4 linked regions of the Tamandua tetradactyla genome follow. The protein of the gene in region 2 interacts with the protein of the main gene of each other region in a biochemical or structural test. Links are inferred from orthologs where the notes say so. Each region holds a gene or a part of one and is shown on either strand. Other genes may lie near its edges.

Region 1 (7,202 bases), on a different chromosome or scaffold from region 2:
GCAAAATATGTTAACAATGACAATTTTTGACATTTACCTGTTGTGAAAATATAAAAGTAGTTATTCTAATACATTTCCTGTCTACAACTTGTAGTTTTTAACATTTCTATTCAACTACAGAATTACAGAAGCTTATCCCACATTCTTTCTGCTTCCTCCAAGTCATTTTCTTCTTACTATATCAATTGGGACATCAGTATTCAACACTTAAAATGCAACATTTATTGTACATTTTATATTAAAGTTTCTTCCAAACTATGGAACAAACTGTGGACTTTTAAGTAAAAATTGGCTATTAAAATAATTTTATCATCAATACCCTGTAAACATTTCATTCTCCCTCCAGCACCCCCCCAAAAGAAAAATACTAGGGTTCAATTAATTTTTTCATAACTTAGTGTTAAGAGATCACAAATGGCACTGAACCTAGTCTGTTTGTTTTTTGCTAGATCAGCAGCTCCAAGTGGATAATGCAAGCTCTTCATTTCACTGACCCTTTCTAATAAAAAGCTGGCACTAATCTAAACCCAAGCCCAAGTGAAGGGACAAAATACAATAAAACTGAGTGAGGTTTTTACAAAATAAAAGTGAGCTTTGGCTCAAAGATCAGAGTTCTGAAAGGAAAAGCAAAGCTGAAGCTGCCTCTGTTGACCTGAAGTATGAACTTATTTTCCAAGGCTCACTCAAGGGTCTACGTATATTGTTAGACAGGTGGTCAAGGATATTAAAACCTAAGTCTTCATGGGAAAACTTTCATTTCTACATCCTCTTGGGATTAATGTTTCACTTTCATGTCGAAAAAAAAGTTCTACGTGTGCTAGGTTATAATGTCAAGTAAAGAAGCAGGTTCCTGCCCAATTTAAACTAAGTGAAAAAAAAAGTTCTGTGAACTCACATATATAGATGCAAGCTGTTAATAGTAGGGAAAATAAACGATTTTCACTTTACTTCATACATTTCTGAATTGCTCAAAATTTTTATAACAAAATATATGACTAATATTTTTTTAAAAAGTAAAATGAAATATATTAACAGATACCGTTAAATGCAGTTTCATACTATTTTAAAGGAAAGAATGAGTATTTTCACATGTTAGAAACGGGGAGAGGAAAAAATTAGCCTTCCTCAAATCTTTAGTTTATAACTCTGATTGCTATCTATCCTCACTTACATTTAAGAGAGAAATATAGAACATAACACAAAACGTAAAATATATCTCAAGTCTCACTCACTGTTTAAATAGGCTCATGAACTTACCGGCCTAACAAGAAGTCCTGAGATACCCAAGAGCAATTTTGGGAATTTTCAACATCTTTATTGTAATGACCCGATTTTCTGATTCTCAAGTGACACTTCAGGACTCAACTTTCCAGATAAAGTTAAATCATCACCTAGTTCCTAAAGTTAATGCTCTATACTTACACCTACAGGCATTCTCTCAATAATCTAACGCACAATTTCTATCAAGAAAGGAACAAATCAGTAAACCGAGTTGAACACACTATACATCCTAACGTTAACTATTTTTGCTGCAAACCTCAGGACCATTGCCTTATTTCAGAAAAACAAAGGAAACGCAGGTGGTTTTCTTAAGGCACTGCTGTCACTTCGGTGAGGGAGATGAATTCTGAAGTACACTCCCTGTATGCAGACAGTAGCTCTCCAAGCTCTTCCCCAGCCCTTCTTGCTAAACAGGGCGTAGGGAGGCTCCAGCATTATTGTTCACATTAAAGACGGTATCCTGAGAGTAGCCCAGAGTTAATGACGAGTTACACATCCCATCAACATACGTGATGTACTTAAAACTGATGCTTGCTGACTTCTGGAAGCTACCGAGTGGGGTTGTGCGAGGGCTGAGCGTGGAAGAAGCCGGGGATCCCGCGTCCAGCACCGCGGCCCTGACGTCACAGGGCGGCCCCCCGCGGGCACCTCGGCCTTCCCTCCATCACAGAGGCCTGGAGGCCCCTCGCCTCGGCCTCCCTGCGACTCCTCTTGCCCCCCTTTCCCCCACCTTCTCCTAGAGGGGCGCCCCTTCCTCCCCCTCAAGCTTCTCTTTTTGCCTCCAGAACTGAACCTTGCGGAGGTCGTGCTGGAGAAGGAAGATGGTCTCTGCTAGCTCTCGAGTTGACAGCTCCGGGACAGGAGCCCCCAGTTTTCGCCCCACACACATTACCCCAGCAATATTTGTCAACTTTGTGCAACTCGTCCTAAAGCCTCAGTTTCGGGGCTTCGAGACACCCCCTCCCCCACCTGCAAGCCTCCACCCCTTCCCTATCAATAAAACGGGGTGGGAAAGGCCTGAAGGGGCGGGACACCACCACCCACTTGGGTCTTCTTTTCCTATCCACAACCACAGGGACTCTCAAATTCGACCCAGCTCTTCCCAGGGCTCCCTCCCTTTTCTGGGTCGTGGTTCCAGTGACCCAATCTCACAGTGGGGGTCCAGGGGCGGCTGGGGCAGGATGACCTCCGTGACCCCAGCTCCTTCCCTTCCCGCCCCCCACGCCTACCGGGGGCACCCAGGGACCGCGTACCGGGCGGCTGCGGGCCGCCCCCGGGGCTGTCCGTCTGCTGCGCGCCGGGGGCCGGGAGGCTCTTGCGCTCCTTCTGGGACTCCCTCCGGACGCCGCCCGCGCCGGGTCTGTGGCCCGAGGCCCCGGCGGGGCTCCTGCCGCCGCGGTTGCCAGCCCCGGCCGCCGCCGCCTCGTCGCGCCGCTTGCGCTGCAGCTGCTGCTGGCGCCGGCGCTCGGCCTCGCGCAGGATGTCGAACGGGTCCGACTCGTCGTCCAGCAGCTGGTGGAAGCGGTTGGCCACGACGCAGCCGAAACTCTCCTGCATCGTGGCGCCGGCGGCGGCCGCGGCCACGGGGCTCCCCAGAGCGCCCTTCATGCCTCCGCGGCCACTGCGGGCCCGCCGCGGGCAGCCCACGCGAACTAGTCTCAGCGAAGCCGGCGGCGAGGACCCATCCCGCCCGCCGCCACAGCCACCCTCCCTAACCCGCCCGCTTCCCTGCCCGCCGGACGCCCGCCCCCGCGCCGCAGCCCCTGCAACCTGCCCAACCACCGCCCGACAGCCAATCAGATCACTCGGACACGCCCCCTTGCCTCGCCGGCGAGCCTGGAAGCCCAATCGCCGGCCGGCCGCTGTCACGTCATGCGCACTCTCTGCCCCTCCCCCTCCGATTCCGCGGAGGGTTGGGGCCCTGGCTAAGGGGCGGAGCTACTGGGAGGAGAAAGGGAGGTGGGCAGTCCAGGGGCGGGGAGGTGCGAATAGCCCCTTGCAGGTGTTCTCTGGGACACTGGTTCTACATTCGTTATCGACCACTCTGAGGTTTATATTCATTTAGCCACTCAGCAACTATTTATTGAGCACTTACTGTGTGCCAGGCTTGATGTTGTAGGAGATACTAGCTCCGTGTCTTCTGCAGACTGAGAAAAAGTTGCTCTGAAGGAAAATCACAGTGTTCTCCACGGGCAAAAGAACCTGACCTGATTATGAAGTCTGGAAAGGCATACCTTAGGAAGTGAGTGAAAAAGAGAGAGAGAGAGAGAGAAGAAAGAAAAAATGGTGGTGCTACTCCTAAAGGAATAGAGCCTTGAAAGAGGCCAGTTTAGTGAGAATCATTTAGTTCAATCTTGAACATTTTGAGGTTTGATATAGTCAGTTGCTGGAGTTCAGAGGAAAGCCCTGGCCTGGACTCCCTTCAGGAAATCATGCCTGGACACCTATGGCAGACACTCTTGGCTGCCTGTTTTATAGCCATTCCTGTCCCTCTTCCATATTTCCAGCACTTGTATTTTGTTTGGGCATCATTAAGTTGAGCTCCTTTCCAGCCTCAAGCATGATTAATCGTAAATCATGCGTTATAGTACCACCCCCTTGCCAGTAATTGGTGCAGGAATAGGCTAATACGAAATATGAAGTCCCGAATTGCATCACTGGCCTGTCTTGAGTCACGTGCACAACTTTGACCCAGTTGCTATACTGAGGGGCATATAATTAATTCTCTGATCAGCCAGTCCTGGGTCACACCCAAGCTTAGAGTCTGAGTGAAGTCAGCTCTCCTGAACCACAGGTAGTGAGGGTGCAGGTAAGGTGATTTCCCCAAGGAAAAGAAGGTTTCTAGTTCCGAAAGGGAAGGGTTGATGCTACACAGGTTAACAAATTATTCCATGTAGGTGATGATTAGCCTGAACAACATTATTGGTACATCTCATAGCATTTGACTGTTTTTGCCCTGAATTATAATTATTTCTCCTTACTTCTCCTCCCTAAGGCCAGAAATCTTAGCTAATTCATTCTATATCCTTTCCCTCCCTTCTTTCTGTCCTCATTCTCAGTGCCTGGAAAGGTACCTTTCATTCAGGGAATAATTGTATGAATGAATGAATTTCATATTTGTATACATATGCTTTTTTTTAATTTTTTATTTTTATTTTTTTATTAACGGAAAGAAAAAAAAAAGAAATTAACACAACATTTAGAAATCATACCGTTCTACATATGCACTCAGTAATTCTTAACATCATCACATAGATGCATGATCATTGTTTCTTAGTACATTTGCATCGGTTTAGAGGAACTAGCAACACAACAGAAAAAGATATAAAATGTTAATATAAAGAAAAGAAATAAAAGTAGTAATAATAGTAAAAAACAACAACAAACAAACAAACAAGCAAACAAAAACAAAAAAAAACCCTATAGCTCAGATGCAGCTTCATTCAGTGTTTTAACATGATTACTTTACAATTAGGTATTATTGTGCTGTCCATTTTTGAGTTTTTGTATCTAGTCCTGTTGCACAGTCTGTATCCCTTCAGCTTCAATTACCCATTGTCTTACCCTGTTTCTAACTCCTGCTGAACTCTGTTACCAATGACATATTTCAAGTTTATTCTCGAATGTCCGTTCACATCAGTGGGACCATACAGTATTTGTCCTTTAGTTTTTGGCTGACATATGCTTTTTTTAAAAAAACATACAAGATTAAAAATATGTTCATAAAGTATACAGTTAGCAATTCAGAGAAATGTCCTAGCATTGGCAGGCTCTTCCCAGGAACAACAGGACTTAACTGTTTGGCTTTTTTTTTTTTTTTCCTGGTTCTCATGTATTCAGTTTAAATGGCAAAGAAAATTTTCTATACTGGCGCGCATGAGACTTTTCCTCCTAAAATTCAGAATTTTTCTGAGCAATTTCCTTTCACTGTTTGTAAGTCCTGTACCTCTAGCATAAAGACACATCTTACTCTTACTGGTATACATATGCTCTTGACAGATAATTTTTATGTGTTAAAATTAAATTCCATATTCTATTAATATGGCTGTTATTTTAAAAACAGAAAATAGAAGTGTCAGCAAAAATGTGGAAAAACAGGAAGCTTTGTACTTTGCAGTGAGGATGTAAAATGGTACAGCTGCTGTGGAAAACAGTGGCTCAGATACCACCGCCACTCACCTTCCACTGGGAAGTCCTTTAGTCACATGCCCTTTGACAAACTCTCAGTGTTAACAGTTCATGGCCCTCCAGTCACAAGATTAAGGAAAATGAGTTGGGAAAGGCTACATACAGTAAGGAGAGAATTTTTGATGAGAACTTTGATGAATGATTAAGCCATCCCAAGGAAAACTACATATATGGAAAGAGTCACAGGTATGAGATCAGAAAAGTCAGGTTAATTAGAGTGCACTTTGTGTGTAGAATTGCAAAAACTGGGGCTATACAGATTGTATTAGTTAGGGTTCTCTAGAGAAACAGAATCAACAGGGAACACTTGCAAATATAAAATTTATGAAAGTGTCTCACGTGACCGTAGGAATGCAGAGTCCAAAATCCACAGGGCAGGCTGCGAAGCCGATGACTCCGATGGATGGCCTGGATGAACTCCACAGGAGAGGCTCACCAGCCAAAGCAGGAATGGAATCTGTCTCCTCTGAGTCCTCCTTAAAAGGCTTCCCATGATTGTATTTACATCACTAATTGCAGAAGACACTCCCCTTTGGTTGATTACAAATGGAATCAGCTGTGGATGTAGCTGACGTGATCATGACCTAATCCTATGAAATGTCCTCATTGCAACAGACAGGCCAGCGCTTGCCCAATCAGATGAACAGGTACCACAACTTGGCCAAGTTGACACCTGTCCCTAACCATGACACAGATAGATAGGAGTTTGTCCTTTAATGACCTACTATGCCTCCTGTGCTGTTTTAAAACTGTCTTGTACCCCTGAAAAGTCAAGTTCTTTAACCCTCATTCGGTATTGTGGAGTGGGATCTTTTTACTGTTTCCATGGAGATGTGACCCACCCAATTGTGGGTAGTAACTTTTGATTAGACGGTGTCATGGTCAGGTTCATGTGTCAACTTGGCCAAGTGGTGGTACCGGTTTGTCTGGTTGGGCAAGTGCTGGCCTGTCTGTTACAATGAGGACATTTCAGTGAATTAAATTATGATCACATCAGCTGCATCCACAGCTGATTCCATTTGTAATCAGCCAAGGAGAGTGTCTTCTGCAATGAGTGACGCTTAATCTAATCACTGGAAGACTTTTAAGGAGGATTCAGAAGAGACAGGCTCTCTTACTGCTTTGGAGTTAGTCTAGACCTCCATCAGAATCATTGGCTTCACATCCTGCCCTGCGGATTTTGGACTCTGCATTCTGATGGTCACATGAGACACTTGTATAAATTTTATGTTTCTGAGTGTTCCCTGTTGATTCTGTTTCTCTAGAGAACCCTAACTAATACAACTTGGTACCAGGAGTGGGGTCGAGTCCAGGGGCTCCCACTCCCTTCCACCTGCTGGTGACTGTGGACAGGAACCTGAGTCTGCCTGGCAGAACCAGCAAGTGACCACTAGTTGGGACTCCTTGGCCTGCCATCTGGGCCCCCCTGGCCCCCCTCGACCTCCATCAGTTCCTCCCCCCTCCTCAGCTGCCATGGACAACCTGGCCTCCTGGCTCACCCTTGAGCTGCACAGGCCCCCAGCCCACTCTGACAGCAGCTCCTCTGGGTCTGCGCCTGCTGCTGCATCTTGGGACTGGTGGGGCTCATGTGCTCTCAAGGTGACGGAGGTGACAGAGGCTGTGGAGGTGGGGCTCAGCCACAGAGGGCGGCTGACCCTAGCAGGCAAAGTTGGGGCTCAGCCTGGAGGCTGACCCAGAACCCCTGGAGCCCCATGAGCTGGCAGGTGGCATGG
Region 2 (7,476 bases):
CTCCTTCCCATCCATCCCCCAAGCCCTTCACCTCCTGGGGAGGCCTGCTCGGCCCTGGGCCCCAAAACTGCCACCTCCCAGTCCCTCCGCGTCCCTCAGGCCTGCTGCTTTCCTCCAGCATTAACGCCCTCCTGCCAATGTCATTCAGTTCTGTCCACTGTCCGCTGCCCGCCATAGCCGCAGGGCCCTCACCAGCCACTTGTCGCGGGCATAGAGCACAGTGTTGAGCATGGACTCGTAGAAGAGGCAGTAGCCCATCCACTCGCTGATGACGATGTCCACCTTCTCCACCGGCAGCTCCACCTCCTCCACTTTGCCTTTGATGATGGTCACCACTGCAGGAGGGGGCGGCCATCAGCCCCCCGAGGCCCCTCCCTAGGTACCATGGGGGCGGGACTGGGGCACTGTCCAAGAACCCTTTGCTCTGAAGCCAGAGCTTGCTAACTGTGCCTTGAGATTCACCCATCACTCTGGTCCCTCTGAGTCCTACACGTTGTTGAAGCAGTTGCAGAAATTTCCCACAGACCGGCCAGCAGACAGTAAGGTTATATTATTATGGGATATGTTATGGGAAACATGTAACAAACGAGTCACGGTGTGGTTATGCTTCTCAAAAGGCCCGATCTACTAGAGACATACACAGGATTTACAGGTGAGCCGAGGTCACAGCTGGGATTTATTTCAGCATGAAGCTGAGAGATGGGGTCCTACACTCGTCTCTTTAGAAAAAAAGAAAACCACTCCGGTTCTTAGAATGCTGCAAGCCCTCACACTCAGCAAACCTACTGCTTTCCAATGTTTCCTGCATGCTCAGCCTTGCCACTGGGAATGCAAGTGGAATGGCCACCAAAAGCAATTTGGCAACATCTACCAACTTACTAATTCACATTTTAAAATAAATGTGGAATGACAAGATGTTCAGGGGACAGAAATTTCAGAAGTGGCTCACACGCCCATGAACAGGGTTAAAAAAGGTGAGGTGTGTGCAGAACGGCAGTCACAAAACAAAAGGACACTTCTCAGCATCCGCAAGCTTGTTAAAACTAGACATGAACAGGTGCAAAAAAAAAAAAGACAGGAAACAGTTTGGCAATTCCAAAAAACATTAGACCAAGAAATCTCCTATGACACAACAATGCCGCTCCTATGTATATACCCCTAAAGAAGTGACTGCCGGGATTCGGGCACATATTTGCACACCACTGTTCATTGCAGCATTATCCATAGTAGCCAAAAGGTGGAGGCAACCCAAGTTCCATCAACAGATGGACAAATGGGGAGCTTTCCATCCATACAACTGAATATTATTCAGCTATAAAAAGGAATGAAGTACAGATACATGTGAGATGGGCTGCGGAGGCAGTCCAGACACAAAAGGACCAACACCTTGATTCCATATATATGAAATCTCTAAAGCCATCGAATTCATAGAGACAGAAAGCAAATCAGAGGTTACCAGGGTCCAGGGGAGAAGTGAAAGGGGAGTGACTGCTTAATGGGCAGAGGGTTGTTTGGGGTGATGGGAAAGTTCTGGAAATATATAGTGGTGATGGCTGCCCAATGCTGTGACTACGCCCAATGCCGCTGAATGGTACACTTAAAAAGAAAATTAAATTGTCATTTTTCATGACATATATTTTACTACAATAAACGAAGTGATAAAGAGTAAAAGCTGAATGAGATGAGATCTGTGTGAAAACTATGTTCATTTGCCCACAAACATTTACATATATATTTCCTTGTGGGTTCAGATTTTGCTGGAAGGTAATAGATAAACTCAGAGAAGGGTAGCTGAGGGACAGACGGGAGACGCCTCACTCAGCACGACTCTCAGACTTAGTCAGGAGATGAGAGACTGCTCCTTGCCCTAACACTAAGACTGAAGCGCTAATGAGCTCGCCACTCAAAGCCGGCACCACACTCCCGCTGCCAGCGGTCACGGGTTCTCAGCCCGATGCCAGCCCAGAAGGCCCCAGGGAAGGGACGGCTGCCCATGTGCCCCATCAGTGGCCCCCACCCCCTGGCTGAGGCCCTAGGGAATCTGAGAGTCACCCACTGCGTCCCCACCAGTCCGCTTTCCTCCTGGGCTCACCGTGGTCTAACTTGTTGGCTTTGACAATCTTCACGGCATAGTCAGAGATGCTGGAACACTCGATCTGGGGTCCAGGAAGAAGGGAGGGTGAGGCCCCCCCATCCCCCACCTCCCACCCCCCCTCGGCCCCCCCAGGCCCTCCCGTCCCCCAGGCCCCCCCTCGTCCCCTGCCCCAACAGGCCCCCCCCAACCCCCTGCCCGCCCTCCGACTCACCCCGATAACCTTGCGGGCCCCGGCCTTGGCAGCGAACATGCAGAGGATCCCCGTGCCTGAGCCCACGTCCAGCACCACCTTGTCCTTGAACAGGTGCCGGTTGTGGAACATGGAGTTACGGTAGGTGAGGGTGCGCACCTCGTCCTTCAGCATTTCCTGGGGGAGGCGGGGCACAAAGACGCCATGAGGGGACCCGTGTGCAAAACGGGGTGGCCTGGCCTCCAACACGCTGACGGTTTGGAGAGCCCAACCGTAGCCCTCCCACGTGTTAGTCCCCGTGGAATAAGACCTTTCTGTCCATTTCAGTCACTGTTCGTAAAACCAGGTGTAATGGATCAAACTCTCATTTTAGCTGAATTTGACCACCTAAGCCTCAGCCATCTTTGGCTTTAAAATGACTTCAGTTAATGTAAAAAAAAAAAAAAAGAGTCCCCCCACCAAACTAGCCCAGCTGTGCTCTGGGACCTCCACATCCTCAATCTGCAAACGGGAATGAGCAGCTGGAGTTGCAGTCCCACCAGTAGTCACGAGAGGGCGGCAGAGACCAGCAGGCCCAGAACTGGGCTGAAGTCTTGGGCACGCATGCGCGCTTCCACGCTTCCACCCTAGTTTCCCTAACGCGGCCCCACTCCGGGCTAACTTCGGTGTCCAAGGCAACCGCCAGGAGAGGCCCCCAGTTCCCGCGAGGCCTCGCATGCGCAGACCAGCGGCACGGGGACAGGGAAGACTGCACGCATGCGTGGGAAAGGAAGCCTCGCCCCTCCCGGGCATTGACCCGCGTGGGATTCACCCTCCTTAGAAGCTGTCCACGCTCACCTCGTGGATGCCGAAGTGCGCGTAGGAGTCGAAGTAGTAATCTTTGGATGTCATGTCCTCAGCGTTGGGTTTCTCACTGCTTTCTGCTTGGCCGCAGGAGACCTGGGAGGAGGTGGATGGGAGCATGGGTCAAATCTGGGGGCTCCCACGGCCTCTTCGACTTCCAGGTTCCTATTTCTCCCTAGGGTAGAGAGCTCCCCTCCCCTCACACCAGTCTTACCAGGGCGACCCTAGAGCCCCCGCCTGCCATCCTGCCTCCCCCAGGAACCCCAAACCCTAGCACCCCCATTTTTCTCTTCCAAGACCCCCCCCAGCACCATCCAGGATACCTCAGCCACGCCTACCATCTCTCCGTCTCTCTGCCCCCGTCTCTAGCTCAGCCCACAGCTGGGGAGGGGAGGGGAAGGCAGAAGTGGGGCAGACACAGGGGAGGGCCAAGGGGGGCTGGAAGTGGAGTTAAGGAAGTAGCCACAATATGGGAGGAGGCCAGCCGGGGGCCACCAACCTGGAGGGAAGTGTACTAAGGGTTTGGAGGGCACAGGGTAACCTGGTTTGAAGCCAAAGGGATCATGGTTAGAAGCACGGGAAAAGGTCTAATGTGTGGCAGGATGTATTTATATGGAGGTGGGAAGGGGGTCTCACAAAAGGATATTTACTTCTTCAAGAGGCGGCTGGAGGCTCATCCCATTAGCCAAGGTGGCTACAAAATTCTAGGAGAGAGTAACAGGGAGAAAGGATTAGCTAATGGGAGTGGTAGGGGGAGGGCCAGGCCAGGGGTGGGGACTGGGCACCAGGGCTCCGGGTGGAGTGGGGGTTCTTGCTATTTTCCTTTTCCTTGGTGGGGAGAGGTGGCAGAAGTAACAAGTTAAGAGGGAGGGCTGTTTAAGAAATGGGAGGGGGAGGTAGGGGGAAAGCAAAGGGGTTCTCCTGTCCCAGCTGTGGCTGGAGAGATGGCAGCCCATCCCTTCACTGCCCCTCACTAGTCAGACATCTGCCTACACACCTCCCCCATCCATGCCAAAGGACCTGGCACCGCCGGGCACACAGGCACTGCCAGCTGTCACTCCCCGCATCTAATCCCCCAGATTAGGTGACACCTTCTGACACACACCCCCACCCCAAGGTACCAGGAATAGCTGCGGGGGGGGGGGGGATGCTGGCAGGGTGTGCCCACTGGGCAACAGCCCCCTCTGCAAAACAATCTCTCATCTGAGAGGATTCCAGAAAGGAGGTGTGGCACATGGGCACTTGTGACAGAGCCAAACAAAACCAGTTGGAAGGAACCCTCCCCCCTTTTTAGCCTCTCCCCAAGCAGGTAGTGTCCCAGGGGACAGGGCCAGATTCAGGGGACTCCAGGCTAGGGCCCGGGGCGTCTGAGCCCTTCTCTCCGGTTCAGACACCCATCTCAGTTCTGAACCCCCCACCCCCCAGGTAAAGCAAGCTCTGGGGGAGATATGCCTCCCCTCCTCCTTGGCTACCTCCTGGGTCTGGGTTGTATGGGGAAAAGAAATGAGTGGCCCCCGGGGCGCTGCTTGCCATGGACATGCATCTCGGGCCCTGATCCCACACTCCAGGGATGGCTATATGCAGTGAGAGGTGGGGGTATGGGAGCACCATCAGACAACATCTCTTCCACATGTGACCACCCTGCAGGCTCCAGGAAAGACACAGCCACAGGCCATAATACCTTGGGCCCCGAATCTTAAGCCCTCTCTGAAACCTGTGAGAAGGGCAGCTGGAGTGGGGATTTCCTGTTGGGGCCCATTTCCCGAAACCACTGATCCCACCACCACCAGACAGCCCCAGCAGGCTGGAAACACGGCCATGGCACCACACGTTCACACAAGAATCAAGTATCCATGGAAATCACTTCCTGAATCCAGGCTGGAGACATACACACGGGGGCTTAGGAGAAGAGGCAGGTCGTCTCCCACCTCACAGATGCCCCAAGGAGCGAAAGGGCACCAGTGGAGGGCAAACGCTCGGAGCCTATATCCTCAAAAGACCCCCTTCTCAACAGACACACTCCCCCCGACCCCCACCTAGCCCGGGCAAGCACTAAGGGGGAGGTGGACTTGGAGACACGCCCCATGAAAAAGAGATCCCGCCCACAACCAGAAATGGCCACAAGGGGGTGCAAGGGGCCTTATCGGGAATGATCTCCTCCATCGAGACGCACCCCCACCCACGGGGAGGTCACAGGGGCATGCCCCATCCCCCCCCAGTTCATAAAGCCCCAGGCGGGGTAGAGTCCAGGCACAGGAAGCGAATGCGGTGGGGGACCAACTCTTCGTTTTCCTCCAACCGCAAGCAAGAGGACTCAAAACCTGAAACGACGCCCCAGCAGATGCCCCCGGACCTGGGGGAGGGGGGAAAGTGAAGGGTCGGGTAGCACGGCCCCACCCAAGAGATCCCCTACATCGCGGAAGGCCCTAAGGTAGGTTCTGTTTGGGTCCCGGGATCCGGCGAGGGGGTGCTGGGGGCCCCAAGGCAGGGTCGGAGCCTCCTCTCCACCCCCCCGGAGCGCCCCTCCCCCGGCCGGGGGCGGGGCCTTTGTCCCGCACGTGGAACCCGCGGGGCCACCGGGCACGGCACACCCCCTCCCCATCCACGGCCACGTGGGGGCCCGGCCGGAAGCGCCCCCAGCCCTCATCCACGTGGGATGGGGGGGTGAAACCCTCGACTCGGCGGTGCCGCAGGTCCCGGAAAGCTCTGGAGCCCCCCCCCCCCATCAGGCGGTGCCCTCGGATCCCGGGCATGCGCCCCCCTCCCGTCCCGCTGAGCGCCTCCAGCTCCAACCCGCCGACTCGGAGTCCCTTCCCCACGACCGAGGCATAAGGCACCGACCCCCAGGCTTCCCTCGGCCCCGGCGGCGCGCCAGACGCTCACCTCCATGATGCAGTTCGCGGCCTCGGCTGCCGCCATCTTCGCCCGCACCTACTCCTCCTCCGGCCGCCGAGACCCCCCCCTTTCTCCGCGCTCCCCCGGGATCGCCTTATACCGGAGGGGCCACGGCCCGCCCACAGCAACTCGGTCAGGAGATCTCATTGGCAGTGGAGGCGGCCGATCCGGGAATGCCGTTTGGCAATTGGGTGGAATAGACGCCTATCAAGGCTGAAGGGCCCTCCCAAGTTGGCGTGCAAGGCCCCGCCCCCTCAAGTCGTCCGGGATGGGGAAGACTGTCCGTCCATCCCAAGAAGAGCGAGCGGTGATTGGGCAGAGTCAACCAGGAGTTCCCGCCCAGTTCCTCCCCCTCCCATTAAGTGCCGTCTCAAAGCTTCCCGGCAGGCCCTGCGCTAAGCGGACATCTTAAAAGAGATCTGTCCGTCACCAAGACTGCCCGCAACTTGATCGCTGCCATTGGTTTGGACGAAAGGTGACGTCACGAGGCTTTAAGCCGCCTCTTGTGGGCTGGAGAGACCTCAAGGAGAGCAAGGCGATTGGCCCCCGACGGAGGAGGGTAGAATTGTGAGCTCCGGTGATCGGCTTAAAGGAACTGTCACTCGTCTTGTCTTCGGAGGATTTTCCCACCCCAGGAGAAATCAGGAGGACTGAGGGAGCCGCTGCCCGTTTGCCTAAGGGAAACACTGAAGCAGTGGGAAGCTCAGAGAGAGGGTAGAGTTGTCTGGGGTCCCCTAACAAGTTAAGAGTAGGGCTCAGACGCCAAAGCATTTAACCCCTAGGCCTTTATTTAAGTGTTCCAATTTTTAACCGCCTCAACCCCCCATCAAGGTTCTTGGCCTTTGCCCAAGCCCTGCCTTCAGGCGGGAACACCGCCTCCCTTTGGCAGAATCCTAGACGTCACCTCCTCCAAGAAGCCTTCCTGGACGTGCAAGAAAAATTACTCGTTTAAGATAGGTAAAAAGGACTGAATTCGTGAACCCCGTCTCTCCTGGCTTCTATCCCCCTACCTTCTTCAATCCTAACTTCTCTCCAATCCCTTAACGTGCAGGATGTAATATCTCCGGGCCTCTGCAAAGAATAGACGTCCTGGCATGCACTCCCCCTTAGCGAACTCCTCCCCGCTGAGATTTCCACCATTTCCTGGTTAGTAACAGTCCGTCTCCACGACACTCTTGAGCTGTGTCACCCCCTACAGCCGCCCTTCTTCCGGGGTCCCCGAAGAGGGACTTCCCACCCACCCCCACTTTGGGAGGAGTGCCCCCAGCGCCCCCACTGTGCTGCGCTATTGTGCAGAGCCTTCTTCCCTTGCTTGCGGGACTGACTTTTCCTCACCTTTCTTTGCAACTGTCACTGTATAACTATGGCCAAGTACAGCTCAGGCTTACCAGAGCGTTTAGGAGGCACCAGCAATCGTGCCCCCAGCAGCCCACTGGGCCAGGAGCTATTATGG
Region 3 (6,867 bases), on a different chromosome or scaffold from region 2:
GAGAGGGGAAGGAGTGTTGTGCTTTTGAAAAGAAGGCAGTGATAAAGGACCTAGAGTTCCCTGTAGCTTTTGATTCACCTATCAATGGGATAATAGCAGCAGCATCAGAACTTATGTATGGTTCCAGAAAGGGTTTTGGCCAAAAAACATCTCCAGTGGATACTCTTTGGGTCCCAAAATGGCATTGCAAAATCACCCCCAAATTATTGGCCACACATACACACAGAGCAGCACATAGCAAAGCAAAGGTTTTGTGCAGAGTTCCCTTCCATCTCACCCCCAAAAGACCTCTAAGCCCAGCCTTACACCCCAAACCAATACAAAAGGTTTTAGACTGAAGTCTGGGGAGCAATATTTACAAGCCCCTGAAGGTAGACTAAGAAACAAGTCATGGTTTCAAGAAAAGCTGCTTAGAACAGAAGAAATAAGGAGAGGCCTTTTCACTCTCTGCTCAGGATCTCATCAGAAAAAGAGGAGATAATAGGCAACATAGTATTATTTAAGTCCAAGCTTGAATGCCCCTGAGTTAAGAGTGGGGTCAGGGATGCAGGTGTCCAAGTTGGGAGAGTGAGAGGTTTGAACTGAGTCTCCCTTCCTGCACCAGGGCACATCCTGACCACTCTCATTCACAGTTGCTAACCTTGTTGCTCCCTCTCACATCTTTCTGGGGTGCTGGCCAAGCTTCTCACCTCACCTTGGCCAGGCCTGCTCCAACCACTCCCCCTCCCACAGGCAGACACTGGCTCCCAGACTCAAGTGCACAACAGTTCTCTCCAAAGGCACCTGGGGAAGCCCCTTCGAAGAAGCTCCCTTTAAGGATTTTTTTCTTAAAAAAAACTTTTGGTTTTTTCTCTTTTCTTAAAAAAAAATAATATATATATAAATAGATCTTCATTTAAAAATACAGTTCCCCAGGTTGAGGTATGCAGCGGCCTGTTGTCACGGCAGAATGAGCACAGGAGAGTGCCAGGCTGGGGGCAGGAGGGATCTAACTAGAGATTGCCATCACGTAGTTCTTCGAGGGGCTGCTCCTGCCCAGCATCATTTGGTTCTTGCAGGTGAGGAGCCCGTAAGAGGTGGCCACTGGGGCCTCCTCATACAGGACACAGATGGAACCATCCTCCCCAATGCGGTAGGACACCTCATAGGGGTCCACCCACAGGGTCAGCTCACTGGGGAGCAGCTGGTGCAGCTGGGGCTGGCTGAGTCCGATCCGGCTGGCCACCTTGCTGATGATGGGGTCCATCTTGTGGTTGATGCGGATGCAGCGATAGCCAGAGCCCTTGGATGGCTTTTCAGGAAACCAGTGGTGTCTGTAGTGCTCTGCAGAGAGGGGACAAGAGGGAGATTCTCTGGTTAGAGCAAATGGGCATGGGCCATGGGCGCTACTATAAGGTGGGGGTCAAGACAGGGGGCCAGGAGGAGAGAAAGGGACCCAGTGAGGTTAAATAAACAAAGTAGTTTCTCCAGAGCTCCAGGACCCTCCTGAAATCCTCCTGCCACTCTAACAGAGAAAACTTTTTAAGAGCTGTAGAGCTCTCTCTTTTGGGACAGTTGTGTGTGTGTGTGTGTGTGTGTGTGTGTGTGTGTGTGTGTGTGTGTGTGTGTGTGTGTGTGTGTGTGCATGCCTGTGTATACTGGAGGATGGGGCGGGGGAAGGGGGACAGTGCAAGAGCTCTGGGTCTCTCTGTAGTGGCCAGTATGTTGTTTTTGGCACATCCTCGGTTTAAGGAGAGAGGGGTGTGACAGGGTCTGGCATGTGGGGCTGGATCTAGGACACAGAGGCTTTCAACAATGTCAGGGTCCACAGCCACGTCACGGGTTTCCCATTGCGTGCCCCAGAATCAGAGAACCTTAGCAGTCACTAAGGGAATGAAAAAATGAGTTGTTTCACAAAACATTCTGTTGTTCCTCAGAAGAGAGGATATGTGTGAGCGTGTTCAGAGATGGTTACTGCGGTTGGGGACAGCCAGCCAACACAGCCAAACGGCTAGAATCGGCTGGGAGAGAGTCCTCTCCCACCCAGAGGGCTGCTTATCTCTTTTCAACCTCCCTCAACTCACCCACTCCAACACATGCCCGTGGAGCGTGGTTACGAAGAGTTACTAACTATGAGGCTCACTCGGGTACCATAATAGGAGGCAGATGGCTAAGGGGAACCAGAAGGAACTCAAGGGGCCCAGATTCCTACTTCAAGCGAGTCAACAGCAGCGAGACTGGCCCGGCACAGCGCAGTGCCGTACCCGCGGGAAGAGCCAGGGAAGGATCTCTAAGTTGTTGAAATGGCTCAACTGCGACTTCTTCTCCCAAACGGAACGCCTCGGGCGGCCGCGCTTTGTTACCCTCAGCGTCCCTCAAGTGTCTCAAGGTCTCAAAGGTCCCAGGAAAGCGACGAATCCGCACCGTGACCCGCTGGAACCCGCTCTTCGGAGGACATAAGCTGGGGACTCGGTCTCGCACCCCAGGACGGCGGAGAAGGCGCTCAACCAGAACCACCACCAACTGAGACCAGAGCGCAGGGCGGGGGAGGAGAGCTGTGCCCCTGGGGGCGGTGGGCTGCTGGCTGCCCCGGGGGCCGCAAGACGGAAACCGAGTCCCGGAGCTGCCCGCGCGGGCAACTTGGCCCTGAGAGAGGAAAGGCGCCCCGGGCAGGGACGGGGGCCGAGCCCTGGAGGCAGCGGGATCCTCGGCGTGCGCTCACCTGTTAGTGCCTCCTGGAGAGCCCCGCTGAACACCTTAAGTCTCTGCTCGCTCACGCAGCCTCGGGTCCGCAGGAGGCTGGAGAGGAAGCCCACGGCGGCGGCGATCTCCGGCAGCATATCGGTTCTCTTCCCGGTCCAGCGAGCCTGGCTCATATCGTGCGCGGCTCGGGAAGGACACGGCGTGGGGCAGTGAGAGGTCTCTGGATGGGACGCGCCGCTAGGCGGAAGAATTCGGACGTACGGGCGCAGTACCCTGTGTTCGCCTAGCCGCAGCTCGGACTCTGCCTGGGCTTCCCGCGAGCCGCGCCTTTCATACTGTTCGCGGAGGTGGGGGAGCCTGCGGCGGTGCTCATTGGCCGCCGCAAGCGGATGGGGGCTAGGTCGGACGCCTCGCCCCGCCCCGCGCACAGCCGCTAGCCCCCGCCCCCGCCGCCACCCCTGCTGCCACCCCCGCGGCCTCCTCGGCGGTGAGGTCATCGTCGGCTGACGTCAGTGCTGGGAACCCGAGCTGAGCTTGGGAGCAGAGGGAGGCTGGTGCAGAAAGAAGGGGCCGGAGCTGAAAGTTCACCTCGGAGGTAAAGGGCTCCCAATTTGCTCCACGCTGGGGATGTCCTGACCTCTCCTGTCCACCGTTCCAAAATCCGACTATCCTTCAAGGCTCAGGTTAGACGCCGCTTCCTCCGAGAAGCCTTCGCTGGTACCACCTGTCCCAAGCGGTTCCCTTTTATGATTCCCATAGCGTTTTCCAACCACGCACCGTCAGCACCACTCTTCTGGACGCTTTGTCACCATTTCACCACTTTGCCCTTTCTTAGCTATCCGAGGGGGTTCCTCTCGGCTCTTCGAAAATGAGGATTGAACTTTCTGTTTATTTCCACAACAGCCCCACTTCCTCCAACAAGTTCTGCTTTTTCTCTCAACCAATTTTTTTTTTTTCTATTGCGTAGAAGCATCTCAGGCTCACCTGTCTGGCGGGTGGAAGTGCAGGGAGTGTTACAAGATTTTCTTTGTCCCTTCAAGCTATTTTTCTAGTTCCCTCCTTCCGTTAAATGGCAACATTTTTAAATAAGTGGTCTGCACTCAGCTGCACACATCTTTACCTCCCATCCTTGCCCTTCTCCCTGCAGCTGATCTTCCTTCCTCATAGTGAATCGAGGGTCTAGCATACATAAATGCCCCGTACATGTTTGTTAAATAAATCAAATCCTATGGCCTCTGTGAATTTGGAGTTTCCTTGTTCTCTGGGCAGGCATGTCTGGCCCTGTTGACCACTTTCTTCTGATAGCCGTCTCACCCTGTTTCTTTGACACTATATCCTGGGTTCTCTGCCTCTTCCCCTGGCTTTGCCTTCCTGGGATGCCTACTCAACCCTGTGCCCATCGCTAAACCCTTAGTCCTTTTCTCTCAGTTTTCTTTCCTCAAATAGATCTAATTCAGGTTGTCCATTTTTATTTTTATGATTTACAGTTGACTTTCAAATCTGGATACTGTGCCCTCTATCCTTTCAACCTGTTCCTCCCACACCTGCTTTGTTCCTCCCCTTGGAAGTCCTGCCACCATCTCAATGTCAGCCAAACTCCGTGTCTTCTCCAAAGTGAGCTCCCTTCCTGGTCTCCATTTCTATCAGAGACACCATCATTTCCCAAGACCTCCAGCCAGAAAACTCAGACTGACTTCTGGCTTCTCCTTGTGCTTTGCTCCTCAGATCCAGTCCCATGAACTGTTGCTTCTTCATTACTAGATGTTTGCCATGGTCTCTGTCCAATCCTATTCCCAAACCACTCTTTCTACTATTAATAGATATCCCTTCCTAAAGTACAGCTCATGTGTCCCACCTCTTCTTATAACTCATCAAAATGCCCTGGAATTGTAATATTTTGGAATTAAACACATTTTCTAGTTGGCTTCTTTGTCAACTTTTCCTTGAAGCTGGATCAAACCAGATGAGACTCCTGTGCTTAATGAGGGGAAAAAGATATGTTACAGGAACCAGGGTTGAGACTAGAAACAAGATAGGCTAGAGGTGCATCAGACCAAAGAGACAAGGTGTCAGCAAGACCAGAGTTGACCAAGGTCAACCACTAAAGAAGTCAGGGAAACTGGTCAAGGTATAGGCAGGTGTACCGTGTCACTTAGTACCTAAATCTGAAAACACTGACTGTCTACCTGGGCTTACTTAGACAGGGGTCTGGTGTTCTGGGCCCTACAATGCCTGCAAGCAAAATTGATGAAAAAAAATATTCTGACAGATCATCACCTGGGCTTTGCCTTAGAGAATATGACTCTGTCCTTATGTGCATTTTGATATTGTTCATGAAACCACGCAGCTAGTTCTCAACAGTCAGAAATGGGACCGAGTCTGCGGACTTGGACTACAATGTCCTTACCATCAGACCGTGGAGCCCCGGTGCTGTTATTCCCATGGCCCGTGGTCCCACAGAGCTGTTATTCCAGATGATGTTGCAATGAATGGAGGTGGGGGGTGGGGGGAGGGAAACATCCTGCATTTGCTGGGACAGGAGCAGGAAGCCCTTATGGCACTCCAGGGTCTGCCTAGCCTTATCATTGGTGATTAGGTAGAACCTATTATGGGGCATAGGTAATCCATAAAAACCAGAGGGCTGCTTCCCCACTTTCTCATCCTCTTTTCTTTCTACATATAAGCCTAAGGAGAGGAAGCTAAATTTACCCATATTTAAAGTTCCCAAATAATGAGTTGTACCCAGCTCAGGATTTGGGTTCTCAAGTCAGTTTCTTATTACACTGAATATATCATAGTTCAAATAAGTTTTGAAAATTCCTCAAACTACTCCTATGCTTCCCCTCTTTCCTCCTCCTCCACCATCTTCTCCTTCTTCTATTACTTCTCCTCCTCTCCTCCTTCTCTCTCTGGCCAAGGCCCTTGAATTGAATTTTGAACATTAGATGCTCTGACACTGTGTCTGCACCCACTAAAAAATGGATGTGGTACCAGTGGGGGTGAGGGTGGAACTCAGTTTATGCCTTACTTGGACCAGAAGTTTCTTTTAAGGCACATGACCCCAGACTCACTGGCTCCTCTGGTCCTGGTTGCCCATCTCATCCACTTGCATGGGCCACACAGGTGGGCTGCCCATACAGCTGCCCTTCTCAGACCAGATCCTCCCTAGATCTGGGTCCCTCGCCCAAACCTCTGCTCTGGCCGTCTGTGGGCTCATCATACAGGCCTTGCCCTCCACTTCCCAGTCAAGAGCATCCAGATCGTTTGCATCCAGATCATTTTACCTGACTGTTTTCTTTCCCAGCTCCCTGATGGGTGCCTGCAAAGCCTTGGTTGCCAAGGTTACCTCTGAGTTTCTGACCACACGTAGAAACCTGAAGCTGAGTGAAGATGATCTGCAGGCAGAGGCTGGGCTGAGTTATTCCAGGAGGATGACATCAGCTCACTCCTACACTGTGAGATGTGTATTTTATTAATTTTTTAATTTTTTTAAAAAATAAAACAAACACAAACATTCTTAACATATGATCATTCCGTTCTACATATATAATCAGTAATTCTCAATATCATCACATATTTGCATATTCATCATCATGATCATTTCTTAGAACATTTGTATCAATTCAGAAAAAGAAATAAAAAGAAAAGAGAAAGAAATTCATACATACCATACCCCTTACCCCTCCCTTTCACTAGCATTTCAAGCTACTAAATTTATTTTAGCATTTGTTCCCCAATATGTTTTACTCATCTGTTGATAAGGTAGATAAAAGGAGCATCAGACACAAGGTTTTCACAATCACACAGTCACATTGTAAAAGTTATATCATTATACAATCATCTTCAAGAAATATGGCTACTGGAACACAGCTCTACATTTTCAGGCAGTTCCCTCCAGCCTCTCCATTACATCCTGACTAACAAGGTGATGAGATGTGTTTTTTTTAAAGGAGTGTGTGTGTGTGTGTGTGTGTGTGTGTGTGTGTGTGTGAGAGAGAGCAGGTAGGGAGGGCAGTGTATGTGAGTGCATCTAAGTGCTGAAATGTGTATGTATGCTTGGAAATTTGTAGATAGGAGAAAATAAGGATATATGTTTGCAGATATTAATATAGCAGTATATACTGGGGAATGTTTTGTGGAGTGTGGATGTTTGGTTGGGGTGTACATTTTGGCAGTGAGAGCATA
Region 4 (7,374 bases), about 13 Mb from region 2:
ATATTATGTACATCCTGAAATAGGCAGTTGTGGTAGTTGGATTCAGGTGTCAGCTTGGCTAGGTGAAGGTGCCTAGTTCTATTGCTGTGGCCATGAGCCACATGTGAACCTCATCTGTTCCCGATTACATCTGCAATCAGCTAGGAGGCGTGCCTGCTGCAATGAATGATATTTGATTTAATCGGCTGGTGCTTAAATCAGAGAGCTCAACATAGCACAGCCCAAGCAGCTCAGCCCAGGCCTTTGGAGATGCAGAAAGCAAACACCCCGGGGAAAGTTGTTGGAACCCAGAGGCCTGGAGAGAAGGAGAGAAGAAGCAGAGATAGCCCTGTGCCTTCTCACATAAGAAAGAACCTCAGTTGAAATTTAGCTGCCTTTCCTCTGAAGAATTATACATTAACTACATAAATTCCCTTTTATTGAAAGCCAATTCGTCTCTGGTGTGTTGCATTCAGCAGCTAACAAACTACAACAGCAGTACATGGCATTACCCATGAAATATTCTTGCTTCTCCACTCCCCACGCCCACCCACCCTCCAAAAATAAATTGAACTTGACTAGAATCAAACCTTTGGTTTTGAGTTCTGGTCTGCAGGAAATACCAGGGGAAAAGGAACAGGTTAAATGAAAACATGAAGAAGCAATTGGCCACATCCAGACTGCAGAACATATGATAGGACAAATGATTCAGTTTATTCAACAGCTCAATGGCATTAAAAAAAAAATGAATTGGGGACAGTTTTGGAATAAAAGTGACTGAATGGCCAGGAGGGAGACTTTGGGGGTGCCAATTATGGGTGATGTTCTATTTGTTGACCTGTGGTGGGCAGGTGGGTTTCTTTTTGTGGTAACTCATAGAGCTGCATGCATTTTCCAGGCAGTTACATGCACTTTTCTCTGTGAATGCCATACAGAGAAAAAAAAATTTTTAATATATAAATTATAATTTCTGAAGATTCTTGACCAAAAAAATGTGCGTGAATTTGCATGTGTACGTGTGAGAGAGAAAAAACAACCAAATACAAGGAGGGGAACTTGTCTGGATCTTGATTTGAACAAATCAAAAATTTATTAAAATCACATTTTTTTAGACAATTGAGGAAATCTGAATATGAACTGTTTATTAGATTACATGAAGGCATTATTGTTAATTTAGTTAGGGGTGACAATGTAAGAAAGTGTCCTCTTTTTTAAAGAGATGCATACTTAAGTATATGGGGGTGGGTGACAACATATTGATGGTTGTTGAGGCTGGGTGATGAATACATGGGGTACTTTTTAAAAATATATTTTTATTGAGAAATATCCACACACGTACAGTCCAACCATATTATACAATCAGTGACTCACAGTGTCATCACATAGTTGTGTACTCTTCACTATGATCATTTTTAGACTATTTGCATCACTCCAGAGAAAGAAAAAAAAGAGCACATGCATCTCATACCCCTTACCCCTCCCTCTCATTGACCCACAGTGTGGTAGTTAGATTCAGTTGTCAACTTGGCCAGGTGAAGGCACCTAGTTCTGTCGCTGTGGACATGAGCTAATGGTACGTGAACGTCATCTGTTGCTGATTACATCTGCAGTCGGCTAGGAGGCATGCCTGCTGCAATGAATGATGTTTGACTAAATTGGCTGGTGCTTAAATGAGAGAGCACAACATAGCACAGCCTAAGCAGCTCAGCATTCCTCATCTCAGCCCTCACAGCTCAGCCCAGGCCTTTGGAGATGCAGAAAGAAGTCATCCTGGGGAAAGTTGTTGGAACCCAGAGACCTGGAGAGAAGGCCAGCAGAGACCATCCCGTGCCTTCCCACATAAGAAAGAACCTCAGTGGAAAGTTAGCTGCCTTTCCTCTGAAGAACTAACAAAATAAATTTATTAAAAGCCAATCCATTTCTGGTGTGTTGCATTCCGGCAGCTAGCAAACTAGAACACACAGTATTTCAGTCTACCCAATTTTTACCCTTTATCTCCCTGATTATTTATTTATTATCTTTATTTTTTTTTCACTCATCTGTCCATATCCTGGATAGGAGCATCAGACAAAAGTTTTCACAATCACAATCACATTGTAAAAGCAATATAACTATACAATCCTCTGGTATACAGTTCAACAGTTTCAGATACTTCTCTCTAGCCTCTCCAATATACCATAAACTAAAAAGAGATATCAATGTAATGTATAGGAATAACCTCCAGGATAACCTCTCGCCTCTATTTGAAATCTCTCAGTCACTGACACTTTATTTTCTCTCATTGCTCTCTTCCCCCTTTTGGTCAAGAAGTCTTTCTCAATCCAGTGATGCCAGGTCCTGGCTCAACCCAGGGAGATTTGCACCTCTGGAAGTTTCATGGGGGACTTCTAATTTTTGTTATAAATTTTTCTTTAAATCCATCAAGTCTCCAGGGTCCCAATTCAATAGCCTCTGAAGAGTTCTGCACACTGGTTCTAGTTTGGGTTTTCAAATTTGAAATGTGTCCCCAACACCAGCCCTTATGACCCTACCATGGCCTTTCTTTGCTTACTTCAATAAATATGTTTGAGCACCTACTATGTGCCAAGGTCTTGTTCTGGGCACTAGAGACATGGTGGGGAAGAAGACAGAAATGTCCTTTAGGAGCTGATATTGTACTCCAAATCATTAAGATGGTGATAAGGGCTGTGATGTGCTGGAGGGATCTTAGGCTAGGTGACCAGGAAAGCCTCTTTGAGGAGGTGACCATGGAGCTGAGTCCTGAATGGGAAAAAGAAACAAAAATCTGGGGAAAGAAGATTCTATGCAGACCAAACAGCAACTGCAAAGGCCCTGAGGTGGACCTGAATTGAAGCAAGGAGGCAGGTGTGGCCGGGGTGCAGGAAAGTAGTGGGAAAGGAGATGAATGCAATCCTGAATTAGAAGCATTTGAATTATTGTACCACTCCTAGAAATCCAGAATAGACTTAGCAATATTATCCTGTAGTTCTGAAAAGCTTAAAAAATTAAAAAATTTTCAGGAACATTTCCGTGCAAATTGGTGGCATTGCACAGCTGAAACACCCTCCTCCTGAGAACTCAAAACAACCTAAGTTCACTCATTCATTCAAAAGCATTTACTGAGCACCTACTCTGTGCCAGGACTGTTTCAGGCCCTGAGCGGCACAGCAGTGAATGAAACACTCATTACCCAGGAGCCTACAGGTTAGCGGGCTCTCCTGGAGGTTGTCAGTAACTTCTCAGAGTAGCATTTCCATTTTACTTGGTGGAATGGATACAAGGGATAAACATAAACAGCAGAAAATGACCGAACACCATTCTCAATACTTATGCAGAATCCTTGGCCCCCACTCCAAAGCCGTTCATCCTTGCTTCTACCTGGACCATTGCAGCCGGCCTGTCTCTACTCTTTCACTTCCATCCTACTTCCAGTCTGTTTCCCACTGCAACCGGAGCCCGCCCCCGTGTAAGATCATAACCTTCCTTTGCCTAGAGCCTTCTTGTGGCTCAGTCTCACTCAAGGTAAAAGCCAAAGTCTTCCCCGTGGCACACGAGGCCCCACACAATCTGCCCGTCACCTCCCTGCCCGCATCGCCTCCCACTCACCCTCTTGCTCACCCTGCTCAACACACTGGCCTCTTCATCGTTCCTCCAACATCCCATACCTTTCCTGCCTTCGCACCTGCAGTAGTCCCTGTTGGCATTCTTACCTCACATAGGTACAAGTCTCACTCCTCACCTTCTTCAGTTCTTTGCTAGTCACTAGATATATTCCTTAACCACCCTATTAAAAAAATGTCACCAACAGTCCCTATCCACTACTTATTTTCCGTTATTTTCTCCAAAGCACTCATTGCCTTCTAACATTCAACACGTCTTACTAACTTGTTTGGCATCGTCTCCCCTATTAGAAGATGGGCTTCGGGAGTGTGGAGCTTCTATGTTTTGTTCACTGCTGTACTCCCAGCGCCTAGCACAATACCTGGTATATACAAGAATCACAATAAATGTTTTTTGACTGTATGAGCGGGAGCCCAGAGTCGGTCCTATGCGTCTCAGCGAGAGGAAACAGGCCAAGGGAAGGCTTTGGGGATGGAGGGGGATTTTAGTAATTACCTAGGAGTAGAGCAGAGGGACAGAGAGAACAGTCCATGCCAAGGTTTGGGTATGAGCCCCGATTAGCGGGGACTAAGGCGACGAGGGAAGCACGTTTAGGATAGAGATCACAGAACGGTAAAAGACAAGAGGGCATGAAGCCCGAAAGGAGGCGGTGTCGTTAGAGTGCCGGGGAGCCCGCCCACTACGCGCGCGCGCGCGCGCGCGTCTCGGGGCTGGGCTGGGACTTCGAAGGGGCGGGGCTGGGGCTTCTAGGGGCGGGGCTGCGTGAATGCGTCATGCGCCGTGCGTCGCCGTGCGCCTGCGTTCCTTTTCCACGTGCGAAAGCCCCAAACGCGGGGAGTGGGAGCAGCTGCACACCCCAGACTCGAGCAGCTTAGGGCTCGCCATGAAGCCAGGTTCAGACCGGGATTGTGGTTGGGGTCCGGGACCGGGGCCAGGCCGGGTACCCGGGTGCCAGGCCGGAATCTGAGGGGCGGGGCTTTGGCCTGGGGGCAGGAATTCTGAGCCCTGGACTAGTCTGTTGAGGGTCGGGGGTCGTGGTTCGGGTCTTGCGTGAAGCGAGGGTATTGATTTCTCCCTAGGGTCGATTGTGAGGCGGAAGTCGAGTTTCTGGTCGGGAAATTTGGGACTGGCTTCGGAGGTCAAAGTTGTGAGTCGAGGGTCTTGGACCAGACATTGGGAATTCCTGCATGGAATTTGTTTTTGGTTTGAGATCTTTATGGGTCTTGGGTATTATTGGGCCAGAGGCGGTAGTCGAGGTCCTTAGCTAAAGTTTGGACCCAGGTACCTGGGGTTTTAAATGTCTGGACGTTGGTTTGCGGAATCTGTTTTGGATTGGGCATGAAGAGACCTTGATCTTCGGTCCTTTAGCTGGTCTGGGAGGTCCTCCATTTACCTCCTCTGTCTCCGCCGCCCTATCTTCTTGGTCCCCAAACCCAGTTTCTCAGAGAAGGCCGAGAGTGGGTGAGGATTCCCTGCTTGATAGTGTGCGGTTCTCTCTGGTCCAACTTTCCTGCTCTCTCCTGTTCTTGGGAGCCGGTCCCGGCAATGGAATGGAGATTATAGGTATCGCGATTCCCATTTTAGCGGTGAGATGGAGCTCGATAAGTCCAGGATTGGTGGGCCGGCGTAGGGTAGTGACAGCGCAGGAGTGGTTTCATTCATTTGCTTTTCCCAGAGATTCTGATGGACACACCCCTGCTTCTCGTGGTAGAAGAGAGTCCTGGCTTTGACAGCTGAAGGGATTCGCTCAAAGTTTCAATCCCGGCTCTGCTACTTAACCTACTGTGTGACCTCGGGCAAGTAGCTTTACTTCTCTGAGCCTCAATAAAATGGCACCCAGTCAAGATTAAGTGAGATTAGCATAGAGTTTGACATATTATTACTTGGTGTTGGCACCAATTGTTAGCATTTTCAAGGGAAACAAAATCAGGGTCTTTTTTTGGTTTCTCAGCTCTTCTTGTGCCCAAGTTGCCCCTCATCCCTTCACTGTTGAACCAGAAGGGGCTTTTCCTATTACAGTTTTTTCTGTTTTCTTCCCTTTTTGGGGGGCGAGAGGGGGTGTTGGAGAGAAGATGAAGTCATCTGGGAGGATTTGGATCCATGCCCTCCTTCCAAGCTCCCTTTCTCTTCTATGTTTGCAGATCTCCTGAACTGGGGTGGGGAGTGGTAGGTTGTGTATATTTAGGCCCTGGCATGCCTGCAGGCATCCTATAGTCTATGCTTCCCCCAGGAATGGAGGATGTGAAGTTGGAGAAGTTGTTAAGAGCCAGCACTTCAGTAAAGATTTTAGTCTGAGAGAGAGGGGAAAGTCTTTGGGAAATGTTGAGCATGATGCAGTGTGACTCTTTTTTATCCGACATTTTTGAAAGGGATCTTTCTTCTGTGTAGAAAAGAGACTTGGAGCAAAAGCAGAGGCAGGCACATTGGGGTGGGGGAAGAGCCAACAGATAGTTATGGCTTGTGAGAGAGGCATCAAGGATACTGACGGTTGAATTGTGTAACTGGAAGGATGAAGTTGCCATTTGTTAAGATTGGAAGATTGTGGTAAGAGAGCCAATTTTAAATCGGGGACCTATGTAGGAGATCCCCCTCCCCTAAAAAAACACGAAAACCTTCCAGAAATGAGTAAATATAAGTTTTTCTGAGGAGTGAATGCTTTTAGTACAGCTTCCTAAGAGCCCTAGGACCTGAAATGGACTAAGATGTGTTTGGAGTGTCTGGGACTAAAAGATAATACTGGTGTCACTGCATCCAGAACGTCCACAGTTCCCAGGTCTCTGCTTTCCTTCTTTCAGGCCTGGTTGAGAGTCTCATAGGCCTCTGAGTAATGGAGAGAGGGAACTCGTTCACCTGAATATGAATAATATTCAAATTGTGTGCCAGACTGTACTTCCTATCTATCAAGTCATGTAATCTTTACAGCTTGATGAGGTGGGCTCCATATTATCTCCATGTGTCTGATTTACAGATGAAGGTTTTAAGACTCCTGCAAACCTTCCCTGGCATGACCTCTGTCTCCCTGTATGGGACACCTGAGCTGCTTGAGGGGAGGGGCCAGGGCTCTCCTTACTACCCAGTCACCTGAGCAGGATCCTAGATCATCAGCAGTCATCAGTTCATTTAAGATTTATAGAGTCCAAACTTGGTGCCAGCAATTGTGCGAAGGTACTAGGGGTGCAGGAGTGTCCAAAACAATTCAAAGCCTCTCTCATTTTGGGAAGAGACAGGTAGTAGCAAGTAAATATATTTAAAATGCTGTGTGCATGCACTGATAGGGTAAAAAATGAAGCCGGGTAAATAAGGGTAGGGTGGTCAGGGAAGGCCCTACATTCAGGGACCTGAATGGAGTGAAGCAACCGAGCAGATGCCTGCAGGAGCCAGGCAGCAGCAGCCGCCGCTGATGGTACAAGCCTAGGAATTGGAGTGGACTTGACAGTCTGGACATAGAGGGAGGTCAGAGAAGTTGTTAGAGGCCAGATCCTTAGGGCAGTGTTCTCAATTTGGGCTCCACCCCAGACAAATTAAATCAGAATCGTAGCTGTGGGACCTGGGTGATTCCAAGGGATTAGCGATGGTTGGGAACCATTGGCTTTATAAATTGAAGAAAGGACTTTTGATTTCATTTTTTATGTGATGGGAAACGGCCTGGGGGATTTGGGCAGGGAAATGAGATCTGCTTTGCTGTTTTGAAAAGACCACTTGAGCTGCTGTATGGAAAGTAGACTGTAGAGGGAGTAGAAGATAAAAAGTAACTCGTTCCCTTAGTTATGTTTA

What was found.
Region 1: the proteins of PRMT1 (region 2) and HABP4 form a complex in vitro, tested with the Homo sapiens proteins (2 studies listed by BioGRID, with this or other methods). The link is inferred for Tamandua tetradactyla from reciprocal best matches to the Homo sapiens genes PRMT1 and HABP4.
Region 3: the proteins of PRMT1 (region 2) and BTG2 form a complex in vitro, tested with the Homo sapiens proteins (2 studies listed by BioGRID). The link is inferred for Tamandua tetradactyla from reciprocal best matches to the Homo sapiens genes PRMT1 and BTG2.
Region 4: of the proteins of PRMT1 (region 2) and FBL, one has a biochemical effect on the other in vitro, tested with the Homo sapiens proteins (2 studies listed by BioGRID). The link is inferred for Tamandua tetradactyla from reciprocal best matches to the Homo sapiens genes PRMT1 and FBL.

The regions. Positions count from the first base shown.
Region 1 is NC_135328.1:123,551,307-123,558,508, reverse strand, and holds the start of HABP4 (intracellular hyaluronan-binding protein 4), read right to left. Parts: upstream 3,007-7,202; 5' UTR 2,890-3,006; coding exon 2,535-2,889; intron 1-2,534. UniProt on the Homo sapiens protein: Ribosome-binding protein that promotes ribosome hibernation, a process during which ribosomes are stabilized in an inactive state and preserved from proteasomal degradation.
Region 2 is NC_135342.1:11,469,573-11,477,048, forward strand, and holds the start of PRMT1 (protein arginine N-methyltransferase 1), read right to left. Parts: upstream 3,018-7,476; 5' UTR 3,003-3,017; coding exon 2,772-3,002; intron 2,463-2,771; coding exon 2,307-2,462; intron 2,157-2,306; coding exon 2,093-2,156; intron 336-2,092; coding exon 193-335; intron 1-192. UniProt on the Homo sapiens protein: Arginine methyltransferase that methylates (mono and asymmetric dimethylation) the guanidino nitrogens of arginyl residues present in proteins such as ESR1, histone H2, H3 and H4, FMR1, ILF3, HNRNPA1, HNRNPD, NFATC2IP, SUPT5H, TAF15, EWS, HABP4, SERBP1, RBM15, FOXO1, CHTOP, MAP3K5/ASK1, MICU1 and NPRL2.
Region 3 is NC_135330.1:60,644,324-60,651,190, reverse strand, and holds the start of BTG2 (protein BTG2), read right to left. Parts: upstream 3,007-6,867; 5' UTR 2,856-3,006; coding exon 2,702-2,855; intron 1,324-2,701; coding exon 989-1,323; 3' UTR 1-988. UniProt on the Homo sapiens protein: Anti-proliferative protein; the function is mediated by association with deadenylase subunits of the CCR4-NOT complex. Activates mRNA deadenylation in a CNOT6 and CNOT7-dependent manner. In vitro can inhibit deadenylase activity of CNOT7 and CNOT8.
Region 4 is NC_135342.1:24,172,087-24,179,460, forward strand, and holds the start of FBL (rRNA 2'-O-methyltransferase fibrillarin), read left to right. Parts: upstream 1-4,366; coding exon 4,367-4,493; intron 4,494-7,374.